Daphnia pulex: one gene and its partner. The protein of the gene in region 1 interacts with the protein of each later gene in a pairwise test. Links are inferred from orthologs where the notes say so. Each region holds a gene or a part of one and is shown on either strand. Other genes may lie near its edges.

Region 1 (5,070 bases):
TCCATCCAAATCAATCAAGATATTGATCACAGTTTCACCGTATCCACTGAGCCAGAAAACGTTCAATGACAATCTTATTCTAAAAAAATTCTAAATGAACTTTGTGTGTTACCAGTTAATCAAATCATGTAAAGTGATTTTTGACGGATCGGCAGGACGCACCATATCGAAAATCTCATCATTGACGTCGTCAAAAGCAACGACTTCTTGTTTGTGCTGCTGCATCAACTCTTGAACCCCCTGCAAAGCATTTTTTTTTTTTTCAAGATAAGAAAGTCAAAAGGTCAAATGAGGAAATTAATACTTTGAAGTAAAAATGGAGGTCAAAAGTGTTGAGATGGTTTCGATGATTGACGTCCAACAAACGGAAAAAATACTGAAGTGCTTGTGGTTCCTTTTTATTGTCCATGGCCAATACGAAATCCAAGTACGTTTTATAATCCATTTCTTTCTCATAGGTCATGCACTCCTCGAATACTCGTTGAATGAAAACTCGCGTCAACGTGCCAGTTCCGAATCTGAAAATTAAATTTAAAAAAAATCTTAAATGTACGTACTGCAAATTGAAATATGGTAAATTACCGTCTGAGCTCTTCCTGACAAAGCATGCCGTTTCTGTTGGTATCTAAATTTAAGTATTGACCGTAGACTCTCAGAGCGGAGGGCGCAGAAAACCAGTTTGAATCCTGTGCATCTTTGGGCAGCTCTTCATCCCGTAGCTGATGAATTATAATATTTTTAGCGAGAAGAATGACAAAAGAATCAGGAATATACTAAATACCTCTAAAAGTTCGTCCAGAAAACCAGAAGCGAGAATATCCTGTATCCTGACTTTGCCTAGCTTTAATGGATCTAGGAAAAAGAGGAACTTGCGTACGGCGGTACAGACGTAAAACGAATGGAATGACTTTTCAAGCCCTTCTAACTGTGGCAATGTTGGGATAAGTTCAGTTATGTAGTTCTCTAAATCCTGGGAAAAACAAAAATAGATAAGTAAATTACATATTGCAAAAACAAAAAACATATTGCTGATGTTCACCATTTCAGTAAGCAGACCTTGTCCTGTGGCATCATATAATGAAAGACCAATTCTAGTTTGCTGTAACCAAACTTTCCTCATGATGTAATTGAACACTGCCATGGTTGATATTCTGCCATGAATATCATTCTGCAATAGCCTTGCAAATACATCTGGTGTAAAGAATGCTCTGTATAGGGGAATTCAAAAAATAACTTGGTGTTCCCAATCAAATATTTACATGTCTTACTTATATTTTGGACCAGCTATGTTGCCTACTTTGAGAAAATCAATATAATTGATCATCTGCTCAGAACCAGCAGGAGGGCTGTGATTTTTGTCAAGTAAAGTCCAGAGATTCTAAAGACAGGATGAAAATCTTATTTACCAGTAGCACAAACACTGGCAATGACATTAACAAACCTGCAGTTCATTGTTATCGAGGAGTTCTTTGCTCTTCTTCTGAAGGAATGCTGTTCTAGCTTCTTCTCTCAGTTTAAGGCTAATCATGTTTTCATGATTAGGAAGCTGTGTAACAAAAACATAAGAAATTTATAGGGAATCAATTGGAAGTTATGCTTACTTTGGTATAGAACTTTGGAACTGGCATGCTTTCTTCCGAGCATTGCTTGCTATATTTGAGACCTTCGGAATACAACTTTTGGAAGGTATCTTCATCTTCGGCGTTTAAAACCAAAATCTCGGATTTTTCATCCATCTCGTTGATGAAAATCAACGAATACTGAGACTTAGGCCGCTAATAAAAACGTTTCTTGTTCATTCGATTCAAACGTGTCGAAACGATAACAAACGGCTTTACTTTTAGCAGAAAGAATGTTTTTTTCGACCGCTAGATGCTATGCTTAGCCAAAATCACGCTTCGTGGCGCTGCCATCGGGGGCATTTCGATATATATTGCCGCGTCAGTCTTAGTTTTCATGTCGGCTTCCTGTTGAACGAAGCCCTCCCGGAATTGAAATCAAATAAAATTCAATTTCGTTAAAGAATGGCCGCCAATCAGGCACTCGTGGTATTTATTTACCTTTTACTTTATGATAATATTTCATGGGGAATAGTACCTGGAAACTGTTGTTGCATTGACGATTCCACTCCACGAGCTCGATCTCACTCCTCGTTGGTCTAATTAAGGACTTTTATATTTCTTTTTTTGTAGTCGAAACTGTATCGTGGCGTTATTGAAGATGTTATCAACGGGGTTCGAGAGGCGTTTCTTGACGAAGGAATCGATGAGGCTGTACTTCTCGAATTGAAGCAGAATTGGGAAAACAAATTGCAGTCCAGCAAAGCAATCGACCCTGTGACCGATCCTGCTGAAACTTCTCTCCAAAGCAAACTGCAACAAAGTATCCAATATCGATTATGAGACTTTATCATGTATGAAAAAAGGGTCTTCTTTGCCGTCAAAAGCAGGTCAGCAGGCTAGCTCTACAGCTCCTGCGAACAATTCTACACCTCAACAGGCAGCCACTACGGCAAAGCAACCAGGTAGTTGGGTATACTGTTACATTGAGTGCATTATTATTAATTGTTTTGTTTGTTTGTTTTTATTTTCTCTAAAGCAGCAGCAGCAGCCCAAACCCCAGTGACTACCCCTAATGCAGCTACAGGTGCAGCAACAACAGCAGCAGCTGCAGCCCCTGCTACGACAACAGTAAGGACGGTGCCAGTCCAAATCACTGTTCCTCCTCAGGCTGGAGTAGCAGGTCATACAGCAGCCAAGAGCATCACTGTTCACGTTCCAGCTCATGCTCTTCAAGGTTATTTCCCAATTGAATCTCGTTCGTACTAGCTCCAATCTAATTTCTTTACTATTTGTAATAATGTCACAGGTGGCGCAGCGGGAGCGCAGCTGCAAACGATCCTGAGTTCACCGGCTGTGACGGCGGCTCTCTCTCTTCCAGTTGAAATGGCCACGACTGTCTTGCAGCAGCACATTAATAACGCGTTGCAGGTACCATTGGTTGAAATTGAATCCACTCGAAAGTGTATATAATAATGTGTGTACAATGCATTATTACTTTTCTTTGTAGTCGACAGCTGCACGGAGCCAATCGCGAACTGACAATGGAGGAGTCACACAGTTGGATGGACCCGGAGACTCTTCGGACGACGACGACGATGTTGAAGATGATGACGATGACGACGTGGAAGAAGAGGACGATCATGACGACGAGGAGATTGACGCAGACAACGAAGAGAACGCAGACGAGGAGCCACTCAACTCTGAAGACGATGTGACTGATGATGATCCCTCAGTGTTATTTGAAACTGATAACGTCGTCGTGTGCCAGTACGACAAGGCAAGGATTTGAATTTTAGCATTCGAATTGGAATTGAAATGTTTTAAATGACTTTTTTTTCTATTTGTAGATTACGAGAAGTCGAAACAGGTGGAAGTTTCATCTCAAGGACGGCATCATGAACATTAACGGTCGCGATTACGTCTTTCAAAAGGCCAACGGTGATGCAGAGTGGTGAAAATATTCAAGGTTGAAATTGCGCTACTAGGGGAAAATCAAGATAATGTTTCATTTAATACAATCCGGAGGAATTTCGCTTTCAATTTAAGGATTTTTCGTGTGCCTGTGCGTGTGCATGTGCGGAATTTCTTTTTTCATGTCGGGTGTTGGATGAGCGGTGGAGAGGAAAAAATACCTGGGGACAAAGAAACAAAAGCCATTCGTGTTTGTCCTCCCTCGCTTCTTTTGTTTCGTTTCTCTTTTTTTGTTAACACACAAAACTTTCCGAATTCTTTTTTTGTCTCATCTTTTCCCTGTTCGCTGCAGAAGCTGTTGTCGCCCCCTTTTGATTCAGGAATATTTAGAAGAAGAAGAAAAATATATGTTCAAATTACCAAGAATTGCAATTAGTTTTCGAGAAGATTCTAATAACGTGACCCAAAACTAGTCCAAGACCCAGGGGACAATGTTACTAATTACGGTACCGAAAAATTCTTGTAATCGTATACAGTTGGTGGTGGACATTTTCAATGTTAGTCGGAAGAAATCTAGATTAGGTTGTATACATGGGAAGTCATTCAGGCGAGCGTACGGGGACTTGAAAGCAAATAACCAAGTGGTCAAAAGCTTACATCCGTTTGCAGTCATCACCGGGGAATTGCTCATCCAACTATTGGATTCGGTACACGTTAATGGAGTTTCTACACGATAGCAGCGCGGTAGGAGTTGTTGGCGTCCGCCAAAAAGTTTCCTAGAGCCGTTAAAAGGCAACCAGCACAAAACTAAACGAACTTTGCTGTTGCCAGGACCTTAGGATTCGACCTGCTGGACTCATTATCAAAACTAAAAAAAAAACGAGGGGAAAAGTTTCAACAAGGACGGACTGGGGCGTTCTTCCATCTGCTTATCATGAAAATAAATTCAAAAATTTCTTTTTGAAATGGTTGATGTCACAGGGGAGGACATGTTTCATGTGAATGATATGACATGAACTAGTGAAATGTTTACAGTATATTCAGGATGGCTTTTAATCGCGTGTCACAACATCCGTTCCTAATGAGCGCTCCCAGTCGTTGGGGGGCTGCTGCTGCTGCCTGTAGCTAGCCGGATGGATGGTTCCATGTTTTTCAAGTGGTGACGACAAAAGACGGCCAACCAGTCACGCACATGCTTAAAACACATGCCGAAATGTAACTTTGTTCACGTATACCCCAGCAATTGGAAGGACCCTGTAAACTATAAAAATCATGGAAATAATTTGGTTAAAATAATGACTATTATTTAATGTGATGATGGAAGAACCTAAGTCATTAATTAGAACAAGTAGACCTACTCACCAGTTTTACAAAAAACCATTTCACGTCGCTATGGTGATCGTCCGTGCGTGTATAATTAGACAATTAATTGCCTTTGATTCCATGAAATCTAAATCAGGTCATATAGTTCCGATTTGACACGAAAAGTTGAGTCAATTATATCGCACGAAAAAATGGTTTTAAAAACATACAATCAGTCAAGTTACAGTGGCAACTTTGGTCGAAAGTTCGCATCTCTTAAATGTGAAACTTTAAA
Region 2 (4,257 bases), on another chromosome or scaffold:
TTGTCTTTGGTCAACAGATCAACAGCAAAACCCATTCTTCCATCTTCAGCCTCGTCTTCATCGCTCTTATCGTTTTCGTCTTCCCGCACGAGTCTCGCGGATGTGACTGATGAGGTCTGCTGGGAATCTTTTTCGTAGTCCGGCATTTCATCCACTTTAATGTAATCAGCCAGACCACCAAGCTCTCTAGCTTGTTGACGATGCTTTCTAGCCGCATGAATCATCGCTGCATCTGGGATGGCACCATCTGCAGAAAATTCCAATTTCAAAAATTATAACCTCTCCATGGTTAAAACGATAAAAATGAACCAAACAAAAAAAAAATCATTGATGAAAAAGAGAGATTCATTAGATCAGAGGAAAATTCAGCCCAAAATATTTTTAAAAAGTTTTCTTGCCCTACTTTCCAGGACATTCCTGAACGGGTCAGGTCGTCTAAATTTGACGCCCTCATCAGCACTCTCTTCTTCTGAATCTGATCGATATCCAGCCATCTCTGCTTCACGTCCACTCAGGATGAGGTTCTTTGGTTGTTCAGGTTTGGGTAGATGATTTTCAGGCTGTGTCTGTTTTTCTTCTTGAACAATTTCCACTGGTGGCTTCACAATGGTTTTCTGCTCCTGTTCCTTCAACTTCCGGTCCCTCTCCATTCGTTTAGCAATTCTTCTACTCTGGGAAGATTTCTTGATCTGGAATGTCTCGACCCCCTCATCTTCTTCCAAGTCTTCCTGAAAGCTAAGAATACTCGTCTTCTTTTTTATTTCCAACGAAGCTGCTTTTGGCGGTTTCCCCGATGGTTTGTTGTTGCCGGATGCCGAAGATGGGACACCATCGACCTTATTAATTGATTGTGCATGGTTATCTCCATCTTCTTCATCACTTGTTGCTGTTCTTTGACGCAAATTTTTCTTTGGTTTCTTAAATAGTGACATTTTAAAATATTCACGGTTTTTAAATCCAAGAGTACATTCACTTTTCAACAAGCGATTGAAAATTTTTCGTGGAAACGATTTCGACAGCCGACATTTAGATTTGGCGACATGGCGTTGCCAAATAGTTATAACAGAAAATTGGAACTAAAAATGTTTCAAGATTTAAAATTTATTGTGTTATTTTGTGATTAATTCAGTTTTTATTTATAAAATTTAATTTAACTTAATAATAAATTATTACAGGCTTTTTTACGCGAATTTCTAAAACTATTATTGAGAATGACAACTTCAACTTGTTTACATGGTGCTTGTACTTTTGTTTTGCTCAAGTCAAGTTGATCTCTCTTTCTCTCTTGTACTTTACATTGAAGTATTATGTAGTTTTTTTCATACATCGCTATCAGTTTTTTTTTCATTTTATTCTTGCTTTGTGCTGTGCGCACCCAAACATAGAAAACTTTCAAGTACGTTCTTTTAATAGATGAATGATTAGAAAAGTGCGATTCTATCTGCGCGGGAAAGTCTGATAACTGTTTCCCTTGCTTGTTAAAATGGCGCATAGGAAAGCTAAACGTCCAAGGCATGATCCTTCTCTTCTTCAAGATGAGCAACTTATCCTTATTTGTGACTGGGGAGGTTGTAGGCAGTTATACCAAAATATGGAACTTTTTTTGTCTCATGTAGCTGATCATGCCGGGCAAGTGGTTGTTGTCACCACAGGTGAAGAATCAACTATTACTTGTATTTGGGAAGACTGTGGATTTGAAACTTCTGATGATAAGGAAATTCTTCGGCACATATACTATCATGCTTATCATACGAAGATTAAATGTTTGGGTGCTAATCTTATTGAAAAACTGGCACTACAAGGATGTCAACTAGATCCTCAAACCAGGAATTCGGTGCCAGAGTTATCAGGATCCCTCATCTGCTGCTGGGATGACTGCAAACTAGAATTCCTCAATGTTCAACAGTTCTATTGGCATGTCCACACACACTCCATAACTAATGATGATGGCGAGAGAAAAGAGAAGAAATGCTTGTGGACAAATTGTAAGAGCAACTTTTCAAACAAATTCAAGCTCAGGGATCACCTAAAAAGTCATTCACAAGAAAGATCCTTAGCCTGTCCAACCTGTGGCAGCCTGTTTGCCTCTCGTACCAAACTTCATGACCATTGTTTGAGGCAACTTCCTTTAGATGGTTGGTATTTTATTTCAAATCTGTAAACTTACACTAAATGATCATACTAACTGAATCTTTTTACAGCCAATGAATTCCGCTGTTCCGAATGCAACAAACTATTACCTACCGAACGTTTGTTGCGAGAGCACGTTCGATATCACCGTCTAGTCTACACATGCTCTCACTGCCCAATTGATGAAGAGGGAAAAGGTCGGAGCTTCCCCAACACCCACTCTTTAGCAACGCATATATCATATTGTCACAGTGATTCTCGACCATTTTCCTGTCCCGAAGACGATTGCAATTACAGTGCGAAATCGCAAACAGATTTGAGCAAACATCTTGAAGTTCACGCAAATACGCTGTGGTACTGTTGCGAAGTAAGTAGCATTTTGTTTGTTTGATGAAATCAACGTGAAATTTAATACCATGTTTATCTTGCAGGTGAGTGGGTGCGAGTTCACTGCTCGTAATTCGGCGACACTTCAGAAACATGTGCGCAAAATACACGAAGGAAATGTGGATCCATTGTACGAGTGTCACGTCTGTCAAGTTCGTTTTCAGGCATCTAACTCACTCAAAAATCATTTGGGAAACGCTCACCAAATCTTTCCCCTCGCTGGCAACTGTCGTTTCAAGTAAAGAGTGCATAAATTATATTAGTTTTCTTTTACGTAATCGAGTCATTGGTTTTTTAGGTACAAACAAGGACCGGATGGTCGTTTCCGAGCGGAGAACGGCGGCGGACCCCTTCAACCTCGAAATAGTTCCTAAAATGTCTTTCTATATTTGTTCCCTTATTTTCGCAAAGGCTGTTCCAAACGGGTTGTTAGTTGACTCTCACTTTGCGTAATAATCTAGACGTTTAATTACATGTATTTGTTCGATTTTACTTTCTCATATAAATGAAATAATGAAATACAAAGTTACACACATTTTCGATCGAATTATGGAAATTTCGAACTCACGCATGCCACCAAAATAATCAAATAGTCCGTCACGCATTTTGATTATTAATAACTGATAAAGGGAGAATTTTTAAAGGTTTCGGAGTTTTTTTAATGCACTTTTTGTTTCGTATTTTTTTTCGGAAATTGGGAGGAAGGATGAACAGGATCGGGTTTATATAGATAGTTTACTGTATTATTAAAATATTTAATTTAATTTATCCCTGCTGCTGGTTGTAGGTGTAGTAGATCCTCGAGTACTCTTGTGGATACTGTTGAGAGACCACATTCATAACTTTCATGGCCTGTTGGTGTTGTTGCGGAGAGCATCCAGGACACTGGCCCTTGATGAGTGCTGGTACCAGTTCTGCATAGAGAAATGAAACAATTTAGAAATTTGCGCCACTTTCGTTTACATGCATAATGAATTAAATTAGTTGTGATTGTACTTACGCCTCATAGTGCGTCCAATGTTGTCACAGGGTGACTCATTAAGAAGGCAATTAATCTGACGGCGCATGTAGCGCGGGTTACGGATGGCCGCTTCGACGGCTGCATTGCTGGCGGGTAACTGTGCCTGTGCTTGTCCAGCCAAGAAGAGAATAACGCAGACCAACGCTAGTTGCCATACCAGTTGTAAACGAGCCATTTTTTTCTGTTCAACTAGAAAGTTGGTAAAATTTCGCAGGTGAAATGTTCTTTTCTGGAATGGAGCGACCGCACCAAATAGGAAAAAGTCTTCAACGGCTGGTGGTGGTGGCTTGAGTACCGCTTTCTATAAAAATAACAGAAAAACATAAAAGAATAAGCACGAGTGAAAAATAACGATACACTTTTCGTGATTGGTTAGATTGGCACTTTTCTTGTGGCCGCTAATTTTATTTTTAGATTTAGAGCTGAGAACAGGTGAAAGCGTGTGGCTGTTAAGCGATAAACAAAACCCCTTTCTCCAATGAACTCGCGGTATACAGACAGTGTGTCGTTGTTTCCAACAGAGAATCTAAAATCGTCACAGCAGCTTTCACTGATCTGATTTTAATTATGTCACGTCGAAAACAAAAGACAATTCTTTTGGCAAAGTGAACTAGATCCTGTTCAGAAATCGCACAAGACCCAATTAAAATAAGATACCAGAATGTATAACGTGAGTTACATTCCCAAAACACGCTTTCACTAATGTTGTGATAACTTTT

What was found.
Region 2: the proteins of transcription initiation factor IIA subunit 1-like (region 1) and histone H4 transcription factor-like interact in a two-hybrid assay, tested with the Drosophila melanogaster proteins (2 studies listed by BioGRID). The link is inferred for Daphnia pulex from reciprocal best matches to the Drosophila melanogaster genes TfIIA-L and Hinfp.

What each region holds. Positions count from the first base shown.
Region 1 is NC_060018.1:12,589,789-12,594,858, forward strand, and holds transcription initiation factor IIA subunit 1-like, read left to right. Parts: upstream 1-1,901; 5' UTR 1,902-2,024; coding exon 2,025-2,048; intron 2,049-2,192; coding exon 2,193-2,382; intron 2,383-2,425; coding exon 2,426-2,524; intron 2,525-2,595; coding exon 2,596-2,796; intron 2,797-2,868; coding exon 2,869-2,990; intron 2,991-3,069; coding exon 3,070-3,339; intron 3,340-3,409; coding exon 3,410-3,517; 3' UTR 3,518-3,899; downstream 3,900-5,070. Other genes in the region: serine/threonine-protein phosphatase 2A regulatory subunit B'' subunit gamma-like, read right to left, coding at 1-46, 113-240, 305-518, 583-719, 782-970, 1,040-1,208, 1,269-1,378, 1,442-1,546 and 1 more. UniProt on the Drosophila melanogaster protein: TFIIA is a component of the transcription machinery of RNA polymerase II and plays an important role in transcriptional activation. TFIIA in a complex with TBP mediates transcriptional activity.
Region 2 is NC_060027.1:4,352,201-4,356,457, forward strand, and holds histone H4 transcription factor-like, read left to right. Parts: upstream 1-1,233; 5' UTR 1,234-1,483; coding exon 1,484-2,135; intron 2,136-2,201; coding exon 2,202-2,497; intron 2,498-2,561; coding exon 2,562-2,755; intron 2,756-2,815; coding exon 2,816-2,891; 3' UTR 2,892-3,052; downstream 3,053-4,257. Other genes in the region: PAX3- and PAX7-binding protein 1-like, read right to left, coding at 1-247, 404-932; uncharacterized protein LOC124207603, read right to left, coding at 3,283-3,431, 3,518-3,713.